Linked DNA regions of Drosophila melanogaster. The protein of the gene in region 2 interacts with the protein of the main gene of each other region in a pairwise test. Each region holds a gene or a part of one and is shown on either strand. Other genes may lie near its edges.

Region 1 (5,407 bases), on a different chromosome or scaffold from region 2:
GTAGAAGGTATTCAAAAGGTGGAATGTGCGGAAGGGGAGGGAGGGGCAAAAATACCAAACTTAAATCTGAGCTTTATTTTTCGCGCAGCCTGTCGCAAATCTCAGTTCTGTATTCGCCAGCAGCGAGAGAAGCAGCACGGGCAGCAACTGGTGGCAGTGCGAATCTCCGGAGAATCCACAACACCCCAACCACAGAAGCAACAGCAACCGCAATCACAGCGAAAAAGCGCAAAATGGTGGTAAGTACGAGCCGAAAGTGAGTTTGAGATCAAGGTGAACGGAGTCTCAGCGAAATCGAGTGGTTCCCTTATCGCCTCCAACTGAAATCAATCGACCACCCAAGGACAGGTTTGGACTTTCGGAAAGTGCTTTATGCCCTAACAAATAGAATCACTGTGATTTTGGCCAGAAATGGAGGTTTTTCGCTCACAAATTATTTTGTATATATATCGTATGAATCAATAACACTCACATACTTGTTGCTCGCTGCCCTTTAGGTACGACTAAACGAACAGGAACGCGCCGAGAAGCTGCAGCCCCTCCTGGACGCCGGCTGGACTTTGGTGGAGGGGCGCGACGCCATCTTCAAGCAGTTCGTGCTGAAGGACTTCAACCAGGCCTTCAGCTTCATGACGGGCGTGGCATTGCTGGCCGAGAAGATCAACCACCATCCCGAGTGGTTCAACTGCTACAACAAGGTGGACGTGACCCTGTCCACGCACGACGTGGGCGGTCTCAGTTCGCAGGACATTCGCATGGCCACGCACTTGGAGACCACGGCCAATTTGTTGAAATAAACGCATTGTTATACTAGTTGCTAAATATCTATAATCTTCGGTGTCCAATAAATACTCAGCTTAGCATCGATTTGCTAAAGATTTGGTAGTCGGCTTGTTCCAGGACATCTGGCGAGATCTCGTCCTTGACGTAGCCCAGTTGCTTGAAGAAGGAAATGGAGGCTTCGTTGTTGTTGAGAACGGTCAGCATGACCTTTTCCAGATGCCACAGGCGAGCGCAGTCCTCCAAAGTGCTCATGATGAACTTTCCCAGGCCTTTTCTACGATACTCTGCAGCCACTTGCATTTCGTAACTGAAAGGAAGTTCTACGTAATTAATGCATAAGGGCTTTACTTATGGAATACCCACCAATACAGGACACAGTCCCCGTGATCCATGTCGAAGCGGAACATTGCGTAGGCCACGTTCTCCTTCTTTTCGTTCTGGGCCACCAAGTAGCGAGCCCAGTTCTTGTTCAGCTCGGCGGCTTTGATCTTGGGCTGCCAGCCCATCTTGAGTTGCTTGTAATAGGGTCCCACGTTCGTCTCGGCCAGCTTAAAGGCCCATTTCAGCAGTTTGGAGTCCGCATCCGACTTCGCTCGGCAGATGAGTTTGAATTCCTCTCCGCTGGGGGCTTTGTAGCTTTGGTAGCTCAGAGATTCGAGGGGATTCTTGGCCCTGGCAGCCGTCTCCACAAATCTCTGTTTGGCGCCCTGACTTAGATCGTCCTGATTCCGCATTGTTTGCTTAAAATTTTGTAAAAATGGCAATTCGACTAAAAATATGCCGCGCAAATTAGGGATGGCACACAGTGGTAAACAAACTATTATTGCTTATATAGAGACTGCTATCGATTACACAGATTAACTTTAATTGGTATTTTTGAAATAATAATTACTGGCCACTTCATTATTTACCACTGTTTTGTAAACAATTGCAGAAAATTTATTGAATTCCATTTTACGGCTTATATACGGGTTTTAGACTAAATTGTTAGTACGATAATTAACCTTAATATCACTAAGACTACGAGACTCGATACATCAGGTAACCCCACATATTGAATCCCCAATTCAACAAGTGCTGACGTTTCCAGTTCTCTAAATTGTAGTTTCAAGGAAACAGACGATGTTTAGGAAGTCCAGGCCCAAAGTAGAGCCTCCACCCACGGCTCCCAGTGTAGAGGAAATGCTGGCGGACATGGAAACGTTCGAGGTCAATCAGCCTACGATAAGCGGATCTACAGACAACTTGGACTTGGAGCACGCTTTCATGACTGAACCAGAGAATCTTCCCCTTTCAACATGGTGGCAGATGTTCGACGAGTACGATCAGAAGGTGAAGAAACTGTCGGCCACCGTGGGAGATCTGGAGACCCAACGAAATCAGTTAAAAGAATGCTATGCGAAGCTGGAAAATAACGCGGATAAACTGAGAACGGACATCCAAAAGCAGCAGGCACTGGTCAAAGAAGCCCTTAAATGTTAATCTATCATTAAGCTACCTTATCTTAAACTATTGTTGAATGCACGAGCGGGTAACAAGTAAAACCTAAAAACTCCACAATCTTGAGAATATTCACTTTAGGCCCACTGCACTGTGGTTCGAGTCCCGGCTAGAACTTCAGCTCAAAGTACGTTTGCGGTATATTTTTCAACCGCGAGGTGTATTTTTCTGAGCCTGACATTTTAACGGTCAATGCGCGGTGTGGTCACACTGCTTGGTGGATGGTAAGGTGGTCGAAAAAAGTTGTTAAAAGCGCAGAAAAAGCAATTGTAATGCAATTGCTCCAGTGACTGTGAAAAGTAAGCAGCCAAGCAAATAAGTTAATCAAAACATAGATCAACAGATCAGAAAGTCCTAAAACGGCACGATTAGTCGTGAAATTCGCTCGGTTTAGGCCTGGATGATTGGGCAGAAGAACAGGTTTTAGGCCGTGGCAACAACGAAAAAAAAAAAAAAATAGAAAAAAAAACCTGCGACTGGCTTATACCATTTACGCCATTAACGGAGGTCGATGGTTATCCCTGTGTGTGTGTGGTGTGTGTTTGGTCCAATATATTTGGCTAAATTCCGCAAATCCAATTAACGCAAACGGAAAAAAAGAGTGCAACAATTTGTGGCTAATTGAATTTTACGTGTATTTTATTTTGGTTTTCGACCAGCGCAACAACAACAGCGAGCAACGAGTAGAAAGAGTGGGGAGAGCAGTGGGGGTTTTTTTGGCCCAAAGCTCAGGTAGAATACACACACACACGCATGATTGTTGGGCAAAAACAATAATTATCCAATTAAACGGTTGTCAAAGAATGCATTTAATTTCATTGGCCAATAGGTTTGCGCGTAAGAGAGGGAAGCAGTGGCGAAGAGAGCGCCTAACTAACAGTATTTTTCACGGGCACACCAATGCGAGCGACACTGCTTCGTGTGTGTATGTGTGTGAGGTGCTAATGAGATGCTGTGACGCTCTTCTTCTTCTTGCCGTTTGTTGCTTTTGCCATTTATGCAAAAAGACGCAAAACAGCGAAAAAAAAACAGAACAAAATACACAGATTTTCGAGCTGAACAAAAGATTTCACGTAAAAGGTGAAAGCCACTTGGAGATGCGAGCACACGGCGTATACGCAATGCAGTTTCTTTGTGCCACGGACCGTTAATGCAATCATCTCGCGATCATAACCGTTCTAGATTCTCACCTCTCCACTCCGCATTCTGCACTTTTCCACTCCTCCAGTTACCGCGGAGATGTCACCGATTGGAGCCACTTCCTCGCAGCGAATCCCACAACAATAACAAATAACGAATAACAAATGATGTGATGCAGCAGCAGGGGTCGAGTTCGAAAAACACAACCTTCGAGTAGTCCAGGCCATCTAGAATCGCACCCGGATCGCACCCACGATGAGCTGGCTGCTGGGCCTCCTCGGGCTCCAGGTCCTGTTCCTCTGGCTCCTGTGGCTGCCCGGCGAGATCCTGGCCATTCCCACGCCGCTCAAGCTGCCAGGTGAGTCGGGCTTTAAAAGATAACCCAAAATCTAAAAAATTAAACAATCTGATTTTTTACAAAGAGGCTTCCTCAAATATGCTATTTGTATATCATCATCGTATCAATATTTGTTTTCTTAAGTACACTGTAATCCTCTTAATCAGTTGCTTTCTATAGCCTACCCACAAATTTGTTCATCACTTAGTTAAGAGAAATTTCATCTTGTCATCGCCGCTGGCAGCTTTCTCCCGCTCCCACTAACCCCTAAAATGCCCCCTTCCTCTTACAGGCTACACCCACAGGCTGACGCCCTACATCAAGCACTGGGAGGCGGCGAACTTCGATCGCCAGGTGCTGCAGGCGGCGCAGGTCAGGCACCTGGAGCAGGCTCGCTTCCGGCAGAAGAGAGAGGTGACCCCCTCGGCGAGTGGACTGGCGCACACCATCCGCTTGAATTTCTCCGCCCACGACAGGTGAGTGCACTCGATATCGCCAGCCGAAAAGGTAATCACTTAATCACCTAAAACCGCCTTCCTCACGCAGAGATTTCCGCTTGGTGCTGCGTCAACAGCCGCATTCGGTGTTCGCCCACGATGTGGAGATCGAGAACACTCTGGGCCCCATCGACTACGATGTGTCGCGCATTTATACGGGCAGCCTGGAGGACGACGAGGCGGCCCACGTCCAGGCGATCCTCACCAGCGACAACCTGTTGGACGGCACGATAGAGACCCAGGCGGAGCACTACTACATCGAGCCGGCGCATCGGTATTCCCAGCAGCTAGCCGAGAGCGGTGTCCACAGCATAGTCTATAAGTTAAGCGATGTAAATATGCAGAAGCAGCAGTTCACCGGCGGAGGACTCAACTCCGCCACTCCCGCCAAGACGCACTGCGCCAGCGAAAAGCTGAGGAAGAAGCGGTGGCTGCCAGAGGAGGTGAGTATCCGAAGAATGCACTCTAAATCCCATTTTAATGAATCTCACCTTTTAGCTGGCCATGTCGGATGCTCCGGCCCCCACGTACAATCGTAATCCGCCCCTGCCGCTGGACTTGGAGGTGCCGTACAACGATGATTTTCGCGTCCTGGCCTCCGAAGAGGACAAGAGCGAGGAGTCGCCGCGGAAGTACCCGACCACGTCCACAACCAGGAGCACTGTGCGCAGCACCGAGAGCTTCCTGGCCACTCTGACTAAGCCCACGTCGAACCGCAACATACTTGTAAATAACTACAATCCCTCCAATCTCGGCGAGGGAAGTCGCAGCTACAGCAGCGGCAACAACAACGCCAACAGCAATAGTAACAACAATAACAGCAACAACAACAATAATAATAATAATAGTAATAACAATGTGCGGAAGTTGTACACGAAACACAAGAACATTATTGTAAGCACGTACAACCGACCCATCGAACCGGAATTCGGAACGCCCTACGAGGAGCCGAATAACAATGGCACCCGCGAGCTGCCCAGTAACTTCTTCAATGCCAACTGGACGACGCTCTTTCTGGGAAACAACAACAATGGCAACGACCGGCCCAGCCACAAGACGCATGTGGAGATCATCACGAAGAACGGAGCCACCAAGAAGCCAAACATCATTGTGAACAACTACAATCCGGAGATCATATTCGCACCCAATC
Region 2 (9,898 bases):
ATATAGTTTTTATTGTTATTAAACAGTCTCCAAATATGCTAAAAACATTCCCGTTGGCCTTTTCGTTCCCTTTACTTGCCCCGCGCTAATAATAGGGAGTAAAATCATACTGGTAATTGTATGTCCGTAAGAACGAATGCAATTGCTTGATTTAACCAAATTTCATTGCACACTTTTGATCCGCGAATAAAACCATCTACATATGTATGAATATTTCGGTGATCTCGGTTAAGGTTCCTAAAATGTTAAGATGTGCATTTATATTGTATGTAAATATATAAAAACAGCAATTAACGGATGAATATACAATATATTTATGTGTATATATTTACCATACTTGTAATAATAGTCATTTTTGGGGTCGTTTTTGTGTGGTTTCTTATTGACTCAAAGCTATGGTTTTAGCTTTTATTTAACATACGCTGTTTTTTTCTAACTCAATGATCTGTTTAAATTTGCTGTAGTGCTTAATTCTTAGTTAATTTCACTACATTTACACAATTCCATTTAAATGCAATAGTATGAATTAATATATGTATATAATGATACGCACACAGCATGCACAACTATTGCCAAAGCATTCTATTTAAAATATGCCCACGCAATGTATGTATGTATACGTATGCATTTACATATAAGGATTGCTATTTACTATGTACTTAACAGTCAGCCCTCAAATACAAATACCTGTATACATACGGCAATTTATTCTTATGTTCATGTTCCCATAAATGCCATTTTTCGGAACACATCATTTTGCGTGCGTCACCAATTGTGTTTAAAGAAAATAATAACTTATTAACTTATAAATTTCCGGTTTTTTGATAGCAAATCGATGTCCTAATTCGATTTCAAAACGATTTTTTGTCTTAGATTAATACTGCTCTTAAATAATTATTATTTTAATGGTAACAGAGCAGCTTTATAAAATAAAAATGGGCCCAGGGCACTAAAACAAAGGCTTCATGAACAGACCAACAGACGCAGATCAAAAACGCCGGTAAAATCTTTTTTAAATCTTTTGGAACAATTTATTACGAGTTTCAAGACTTCCATAAAAAGATGTAAATATGTTAATAAAAAAAAATGCAAAGAGAAAAAAAATTTATGATTAATCTTAAACTCATAATTAAAGTGAAAAAAGATATTACATTTTAAGCCGTAAGAACTGATTATATATAGATTTATATTATTTTAAAACCTACCTTAAATTACTTTCCAATGACTTCCTTAAAAATAAAAGTAGCCGAAGCTGATGCACATGTATATAAATAATCACACATGAACATACACGCCACATTTGTCACATAGCAAACAAAAAACCGTCCCGCAGTTTGGAATGTGTGGCTATATACATATGTACATTCGCATAACTTATTTAATGTATACACATAAGTAGGCGCATGAGTATATGGACGCAAAAACAGATGCGGAGCTGCATTCTTTGTACTTAGCATTTATTTATGACAAAACAAATATAATTTACGTATTGCACGGCTGCTGGCAGCGCTGTACAGTCCGAATGCGTAATATTATCCGATTTGATTACATATGCTAGTACTTGCAAGGAGAAAGTGGTATACCGGAATTTTCTTTGCCGTGGTTTAAAATGCTGGGTGGGAGGACTTTACTTAATGAGTAAACAGGGATAATCTTGTTGTTGCGTACTGTTTATAATAATACAAATATTTAAACTATGGGCTTGATTGATATTTGGAGCTTTTCAGAGTATATGTGTAAGAAATGTTTATCTTTCAAGTTATTTCTGTATTCAATTACAACCAACTTTTCTACTGATTTTACACACCGTCCGGTGAAGGGGAATTCTTTTTTTATTTATATAATATATTATTTCATATTATTTTCTAAAAAATTTCAAATTGACTAACCGCCTTCGTGTTCTATTGATGCGACGTCACTACCACAGCTTGAACCGCCTTTCAGACTAGCATTTATAAGCAGAACGACAGAAAAGCGGGCTTCTTGATCGATTTGGATGGACATTTTGTCTGCTTGATTAGTGAATGGATATTTCGTTTTAACGATTGCAAGAGATTTAAAACCATTCGGATCTATATTTGTACCATATACATGTATAAGCCCTAATTGGCATACGTACATAGGCAAGAATAGAGATGGGAAGGATGCGCGCAATGTGAATATGCTTATTAATTTATAAGTATTATTCGTGCAGGCTCGCCACAGTCATGGAGTGGAAGTGCTGCCTTATGACCGTTCGCCCACAAATACCGAACCCGCACCAATTATGAGTTTACCATGCATGTGCACACAAAACACACACTCAACATGCAACACATACATATGCTAAAGTGCATTTGGTACACTCAGTATACAGTTTCTAAAGTAAAGATACATAGGCCTGCATTATATTATACCCTAAAAACTTTTGGCTCGAGACCGCTACTTTTATTAAGATAACTTAGTACTGCTAAGTTAGACTATGCCAAGAAAGAAAAGTATTAGTGGTCCGAAGGTCGGCTTATCTCTTTTGCATTGCACTGCTGGACATCTTGAAAAACTAGCCATCATTTTTATATTTGCTTGAGAGTTAGGATGCTAAAAGGAAAGCTAAAAGTGTTTCCGTACTATCAGGACAGTTTGAGGTAAGCGTGACCGGGTTTGACGTGCGTAATTGAGCCAACCTAACAACACGTTTTCTGAGCACAAGTTCTCAGCTTAACCAATTGAGTCAAGTGAGTTTGAACATTTGGTATGCTCGGTCTGTCCTTGTATTTAGCTGTACACTGTAAGCCCATTTTTAAGACCGCGGGACCCTAGGTTTTGCCTAAAGCTCATGCGTAGCTGTCGACCGATTGAACCTTAGATTATGTAGATATGTATGCGGATTGACTAGTTGTATTTAGACTGACTTGATAGAATTTCGGGTTTATGATCTCTTTTATGAGATGATGTGAATGCGACTTCATGGTAGCCTTGTCTACTATCTCACCAAAAGGCGTCAAAGTCCTCTTCGATCACTATCCAAGATAGCAGCCAAATACCAAAAGATACTATGTACTATACTATAAGGTATTTATCAATCATGTACGACTGCTGTAAAATATATCTATGGGAATAGCACATAATTTTCAACAAAAAAATAGTGGGTTTCCTGTAATTTTTTTTTACTGAGCATGTGTATACTTTTAAAACAATATTCAAATTTGCAAGAAGATATTTATGTACATACATATACCCTAGGTATCCGCTTTTTTCCACGCCACGAATTGTTGCGAATGCATGCATGTATGTGTGTACATAAATAAATATAATATTAAAGAAAATCGATAGAGGTCGATTCCCACAGACCAAAGCACAGACCAAAATCGATTGAGCAGCAGAGGTGGCGGCTAACGTTACCTAAATATGTACATATGTATATGCTGCAGCATACACGGCTGCACATTCATTTTGAAAAGGTAGGGTTCAATAGTGTTTTCCGGATGCCTATGTGCTTTGCGAGCCGCCCACTTGATTGTGTACGTGTTTGTACATAAGAACTTCACATAAGCATTAAAATGCATACTGCCGCACCGTGACGAAGACCAGAAATGCAGCCATATCGCACATACATGCACAAGTGCAGCGCAAAACTCGAGCTAGACAGAAACAGTTGGCTGGCTGTCCGGCGGCGGAAGGGAGATGGCTGAACGTGGACAGAAACAGGAGCTGGGCAGGGGTAGTAACAGGGCCAGGAGGTGCCAGAGAGGCCTTGAAGTAGACATTAAATCATGCACAAATTTGCATTCCACCGACCAGAACGGACTGTGCTGTGGTTGCAGCAAGACAGCAGGGAGGAGGTCGGTTTGCTGGGTGGTTGCAGTGGTCATCACGCTGCAACGCTGCCATAAGGGATGTTACTGCGGAAGTGCAGCGCTGACGGGACCCGACGACCAACGACGAGTGCAACAGCCCCCCTCCGCCTGCTTGTTTGAGAGTTATCAGTTGGAGAGGGCGGCGTAGGGGATGATGCAACGAAAACGCATATGAAAGCGGCATGGGCCAGACATACATATATGTTGTACACTGTACGCACACAGACTCACGTGGAGTGAATGGGCGCTGGGCAACAATAGCATGCAGCTTAATACACTTGAAAAAAAGACCAGAAAGCCATATCCCGCGCCTTAGACGGAGAAGGGAACGGGCAGGGCTAGACAGAGACTAGAGGCCTCATCAGGTCATCCCTACAAGGTGTAATTGAGGAGCAATAAGAATATCAATAAGCTCTCCGAGCTTAAGAATTGTAATTCAGGAATTGGTGCTTTATTGAAATTTTTTTATTCAATTTTTTTTTGAGTGTAGAGCTGCAACTGCAAATGCTGAAACAACTGCCACTGCAACTGCAGTTACCAACAGCGCCGGCGCTGGCACAGGTTCCCTGTCCGAGTGCAAGGATCTGAATCCACATCCGCCGCTTTCGCTGTTGTTGTCGCTCCCGCTGCTGTCACTTTTTGTTTAACACACAATTTTTATCTTATAATAAGCACACCGCTGCTGCCAGCTATTTCCCCAATTCGGCACCCGGCTGTCTCCATCCCAGTCTCCAGCTTGGGAAGCAACGTATGCCGAGGCGATGATTTTTATTCTCAATTATTTTGGATGCGGCATTCAGAAACGCAATATTCCATGGAGTAGAACAACCGACTGCGGATCGTCCTGACCTCGCGGATCATTTTTATTTTATCAAATGTGCTTAAACCAGATATAAAATGATTGTGGACTGTGCTAAAAACTAAAAACTAACCAAATAATAGAGTTGTTTGATAAAAAAAAAAAAACAAAGCACAAATGAATTGCTTGGCAATGCTTACTTGGACGATTTCATTTGTGTTTTACTGAATTCAGATGAAAATATGAAAACAATATTTCTTTTAATTTAATTTCAGATCATCATAATTTTAACAAACACAATAGACCAAAAATCGTTTTTAACAATAAAGAAGAATCCGTAACTAAACGATCAAATCGACAAACCTAACTCAACCCAGCCATCTTTCAGTTTTAAACGCAATAGAACAGATGCATTAATTAACTAAGTTTTCTACACCTATTACCAAAAAGGAAGAACCACATCAACATTAACTTCATCACCAATCCGAAAAATAACATCTAAACCAATATAACCTAACATAAAAACAGACCAACGAGAAAACCCATTTAAAAATTACTTTTTAGACAAATGAAAAATATAATTTACAACAAAATTGAAATCAAAAGTACAAAACGACATTAATGAATGCGCAAAAGAATTATAAATTTAATACAATATAAAACTGTATGTTTTAGTAACGATTACGTGAAGATTTAAGTCCAAACTAGGCTACTAATCGAAAATATGATTACGTGAAGATTTAAGTCCAAACTAGGCTACTAATCGAAAATATGATTTATATGATTTACACAAATGTGTACATAACCATATAGTCATTTAAATTGCATATATAGTCTCTTAATACTAATTTAAACAGTATATAATAAAACATTTAGATTTTCTACAGCTACAAAATACACTCCCTGAATGATTACCGAAGACACACTGACACCGGAACAGACAGTTTGAACTATCACATACCCTACAGCTAGCCCTAGCATAACCATACGTAACTATACACCAAGTCGCTTATTATTTTTTAATGATAAGAGCAATACTCAAAAAATAATAGTATAGATACATGATTAAGCGTGAAGAGATAGTGGTTATTATAGTAAACAGTACGTAAAATAGTATATAAAATTAAAGATATTGCTACTATAAATAATCAAAATATCATTCTTCGGTAATATAATGGACGATATTTTAAACTAAATATTCGTTTAAGTTACAAATGTGAACCTCGAATTATTTTAAAATTGGAATATATCATATTATATTTTTATATGTATATTAAATTATGAGACGTCACAATGCGTACATATGTAGGTATTTCCGAACAATACAAATCTGGGCATCAAAATAGTAGATCGTATCGGGTAACAAATTGTGATTCAAACGTTTACAAAATTTTTAAATTTATATGTAAACAAATTCAAATAGAAACTGCATCAATCTAACTCCATGTTTTGGGATAAATAGGCGATAAATGAATTTTATAACCAATATATCGCGACACCGTAACGTGTGCCTTATTCCGGCCTTAAGTTTAAATGACTTTTAATAATACATCAAAAACCTAATTCAAGTATATATTAAGCCCACGGACATTCAACTGCAAAGCCGTCGCACGTAAAAAGTCAATAGGATATAGGATTTTCTAATATAGGACCATTACCTGATTGGTATGCCGCCCATCACCTGCGACGTAACCGTCATCGTACTGTAATCGCCTGAGAATATGTTTGTTTTCAAGGTAATTATTGATCCTAACTTCCATGTTAATATCGAATCCCTACAGTCACAATGGCGATCATACCTTATATACACACATATATAAACATATGCGTGCATATATATACATACGTGTAACAAGAACAAAGTTTCCGTTTTCCGGCTTGACCGTTATTCCGAGGTGGCACGATTTGGCAACTAAGAGCCATTCCAAAGAGAGCATTATTATCCGCTGAGCAAAGATGCTGTTTCTTGGTAAACCCGAAGACGGGACGAAGATATTTTGCCGAAGGCCTTAGAGCTGAGTCCTGAAACGAAGACGTTTGGCTTACTTTGCGCCAGCGACGATGGCGACAGCGATGACTCGACTTCAGGCCGACTCCACTTTGCGTGCAAGTTCTATTTCTAAACGAGACGTGTCTGAACCCCCAGCAACAGTCATATTTATACTTGTCCGAGGCGGCGGCCAAATTAGTTTTTCTATGACTCGCGGGCCGCCAGGTTATCTGTAGTTGTTTGCTGGGAGCGACTTCCAAGTCTCAGCCGTAATCGTAACCGTAATCGAGGCCGTGCATATAGACAGTCACTGTATTCTTCCAACAAAAAAAACCTCGTAAAGAGGTAAAAGCAACCGAAATACGCACCAAACCACCAATTATACAAATGGCAGCAAGATAACATTTCGCTCCTTTTCGAACACTTGCATACGCGACACATTGCTTATTATTGGTTTTATTCACAAATTTTGGTTTTTTTATGCTTTGAACTTTAGTTTCTTTTCTTTAAAAAGTGATTAAAACAGTTTGGTGACTATGTTCCATCCCCAATAATAACAAACAATTTATAAGTGTCCATGTGCGACGCTAGGATATTCAAGAATAAGTTTCCTAATTGACCTGTGTGTTTTATTTATTTCGACGCAACTACGTCTACGAGGAAATATATTAATTTTTCAAAACCGATGCCAACATATATGTGGCTTGGTAACTTAAGTCGTCCAGAAACTGGCTTATACAAGAAACCGTATTCTTATATATTAAGGCTCTACCTTCGATTGCTTTTAAATCAAATTGTCTATAAATTGAATCAGAAACGTTAAATTCTGGGACAAAAGCAATTTTGGTAGACTGACTTTTTTAAACAGAATGACCGATATATTAGCTATGGTGTTTATATATATATTTTAAATATATATCTTAAGAGACGTATGCGTATCTCACGTTTTTAATATATACAAAATACGGAAGTAATTTAATAATTCTTAATTTGATTTATTAATCGAAAGAATACGTGTAAAAAAAAGTTAGATCATTATACACTTTTTTACTTCATGGTTTTACTTCCATGGTTTGGCTTAAAAAAAAAGCACTCCAATTTTATATCCATTATTTTAGAGGAAATCATCCTGAGGCACTAGAGAAATGTTGTTATTTCTTAATGATTTAATTGATAGGTATACTGCTTCAAAAAAGCTAAAGAAATTTTTGGAGAAAGCCTTCCGGATGTAACTGGCGCCAAAGCAGTCTTTTCTTGTCCGAAAACTTTAAACAACATTTTCTTAAAAACCACGATTTTCAAAATTATGTAAGTTATAATAAACAATCTAGTAAGCCAATTTTCATCATCTAGCATTCATTTTAAAGAGCATAAACATTTTTCAAAAAAATTTTTGTCAGTAATTGGCAGGGTTACTTTTGGAATTTTGCAAACATTTCTGCTCATTGACAATAAAAAACCCGAGTAAGAAAAGAAAAAAAGTTTGTTGAATTCAGACTAAAATTTCAAAACTTTTGTTAAAACGTTTTTTTATTACCTCTGCCATGACTATCGTAGAGTAAAAAGGGTTAAGCATTTCCGACCATATAAAGTATAAATACTCTTGATCAGAATCAATAGCCGAGTCGAACTGGCCATGTCCGCCTCAACCTATGAGGATTGAAACAAGCATTCATTCTGAATACATAGACGCAGCGCAAGTTTGTTGACTCATATTGTCACACTCACTCTAACGCCCACAAAGCGCCTTAACCTGCCACGGACACCTTTTTGAAATTCGAAATATTTCGTTATCTTTTCATATTTTTATTAGTTTTGTAAATTTATATCGAGTTGCAAAAAAAACTATTCCACGCCAACTATAACTCCCACAAACCGCCCAAAAATGCCACACCCACTCTTTTAAGAAATGATTCAATTTTGTTGGATTAAATAAGTCGTTTTCCTTATTTCAATCTATATGCCGAAAACATATTGACCACGCCCACTCTGACCCCTAAAACCGCCCAATTTTAAAAATTCAAAAAACCCTTTTACGCTTAACAACTTTTTTTGTTTTACAGGCAATAAAATGATATGAAATTACGATGCTTTAACCAGGCCCAAACTTCGCACAGTTGGCACCCCAGATCCGTGTTCAGGGTCGTAAGCAGTTGTCCTCCCGATCGAAAAAAACGGCCAAGCCCAGCGAGCTGGCAAATCTGTATTGGCCATCTCCTAACAAATTATCTTGGAATGTTTAAAATGGACTCCGCAGACTTCTGGCAGCAAGCGCGTGCTCCGTTTGGTCTGCAAACTGCGCTTCACCAATACTCTTCCCCCCCGAATCAACAGCCAATATCCCACCACGCCCTGCACCACTCCGTTCCGCAGGAGAACGAGCAGTTGGCCGGAGTTCAACCAGAAGGTCCAGCAGCAGGATCAGGCGTAGTGGGCAACAACAGTTCCATGGCAATTTCCGGCACCAATTCAACTGTGGGCAGCAAGGCGGAGTCCAGTCACATTCCGCAGCAGCACTCAGAGCAGCAGTCATATGGAAGCGACTCCTTCCGAGGAACGCAGTCGCCCCAGCTGAGTAGCCACCACCTGTTGTTTAACGCCGCTGCAGCCGCTGCTGCGGCGGTCCACCTCAAGTCCACGGCGATGCAGAATAACCTCTCGCCAATAGGCGATCAGGTGCAAAATAACCTTCGCAACTACGGACAAGGATCCTTAAACGCCTTATGTGGGATCAAGCCCAAGCAGGAGATGGATGCGAAGACGCCCCTACAGCCGTTGGACGAGTGTCCCCACCCTCTAGTTCAGGCGCAGGCCCAGTCCCAGTACGGCGGAGACTACTACGACGTGGCCGACCCACAGGCTAGAGAAATCTCGGAAGGTCGAGCACTGATAATCGGACTCGGAGCACCCAGTACGGTGTCCACCGACGATGCACAGTCCAGTGCGCCGTCTCATCAGCTGGCAGGGACTGGCCGAGCATTGCAGACTCATCAGTGCAAGCCAATGTCCCCTGGAACAGTTGGTAGCTCGAATTTGGGCGCAGGACGAAGATCCGCACCCACAACAATAAGCAAGACCTTTTCGCAGGGTCAGCAGTCCCCTCAGCACTCTACAACGCCATCCGGAGGCAGCACGACGCCCGACATCAAATACAATAACGACAAAATGGCCAATGAAATTCAGGTATTGTTTTGAAGATTTTTCTGCTTATCTATATACTTTAAAGGGAACCTGGTAATCGAATATTCGATGCAGTCCAAACAAGAGTAGTAA

Evidence for each region.
Region 1: the proteins of dati (region 2) and CG18731 interact in a two-hybrid assay, tested with the Drosophila melanogaster proteins (one large-scale study listed by BioGRID).

Annotation. Positions count from the first base shown.
Region 1 is NT_033777.3:29,723,350-29,728,756, forward strand, and holds CG18731 (uncharacterized protein), read left to right. Parts: upstream 1-1,677; 5' UTR 1,678-1,824; intron 1,825-1,873; exon of another isoform or gene 1,874-1,888; 5' UTR 1,889-1,905; coding exon 1,906-2,265; 3' UTR 2,266-2,341; downstream 2,342-5,407. Other genes in the region: Pcd (pterin-4a-carbinolamine dehydratase), read left to right, coding at 1-7, 89-239, 498-797; Naa40 (N(alpha)-acetyltransferase 40), read right to left, coding at 853-1,090, 1,147-1,517; Kul (Kuzbanian-like), read left to right, coding at 3,679-3,781, 4,053-4,236, 4,307-4,700, 4,756-5,407.
Region 2 is NC_004353.4:390,335-400,232, reverse strand, and holds the start of dati (datilografo), read left to right. Parts: upstream 1-4,627; 5' UTR 4,628-6,371; intron 6,372-6,822; exon of another isoform or gene 6,823-6,970; intron 6,971-8,688; 5' UTR 8,689-8,701; coding exon 8,702-9,808; intron 9,809-9,898.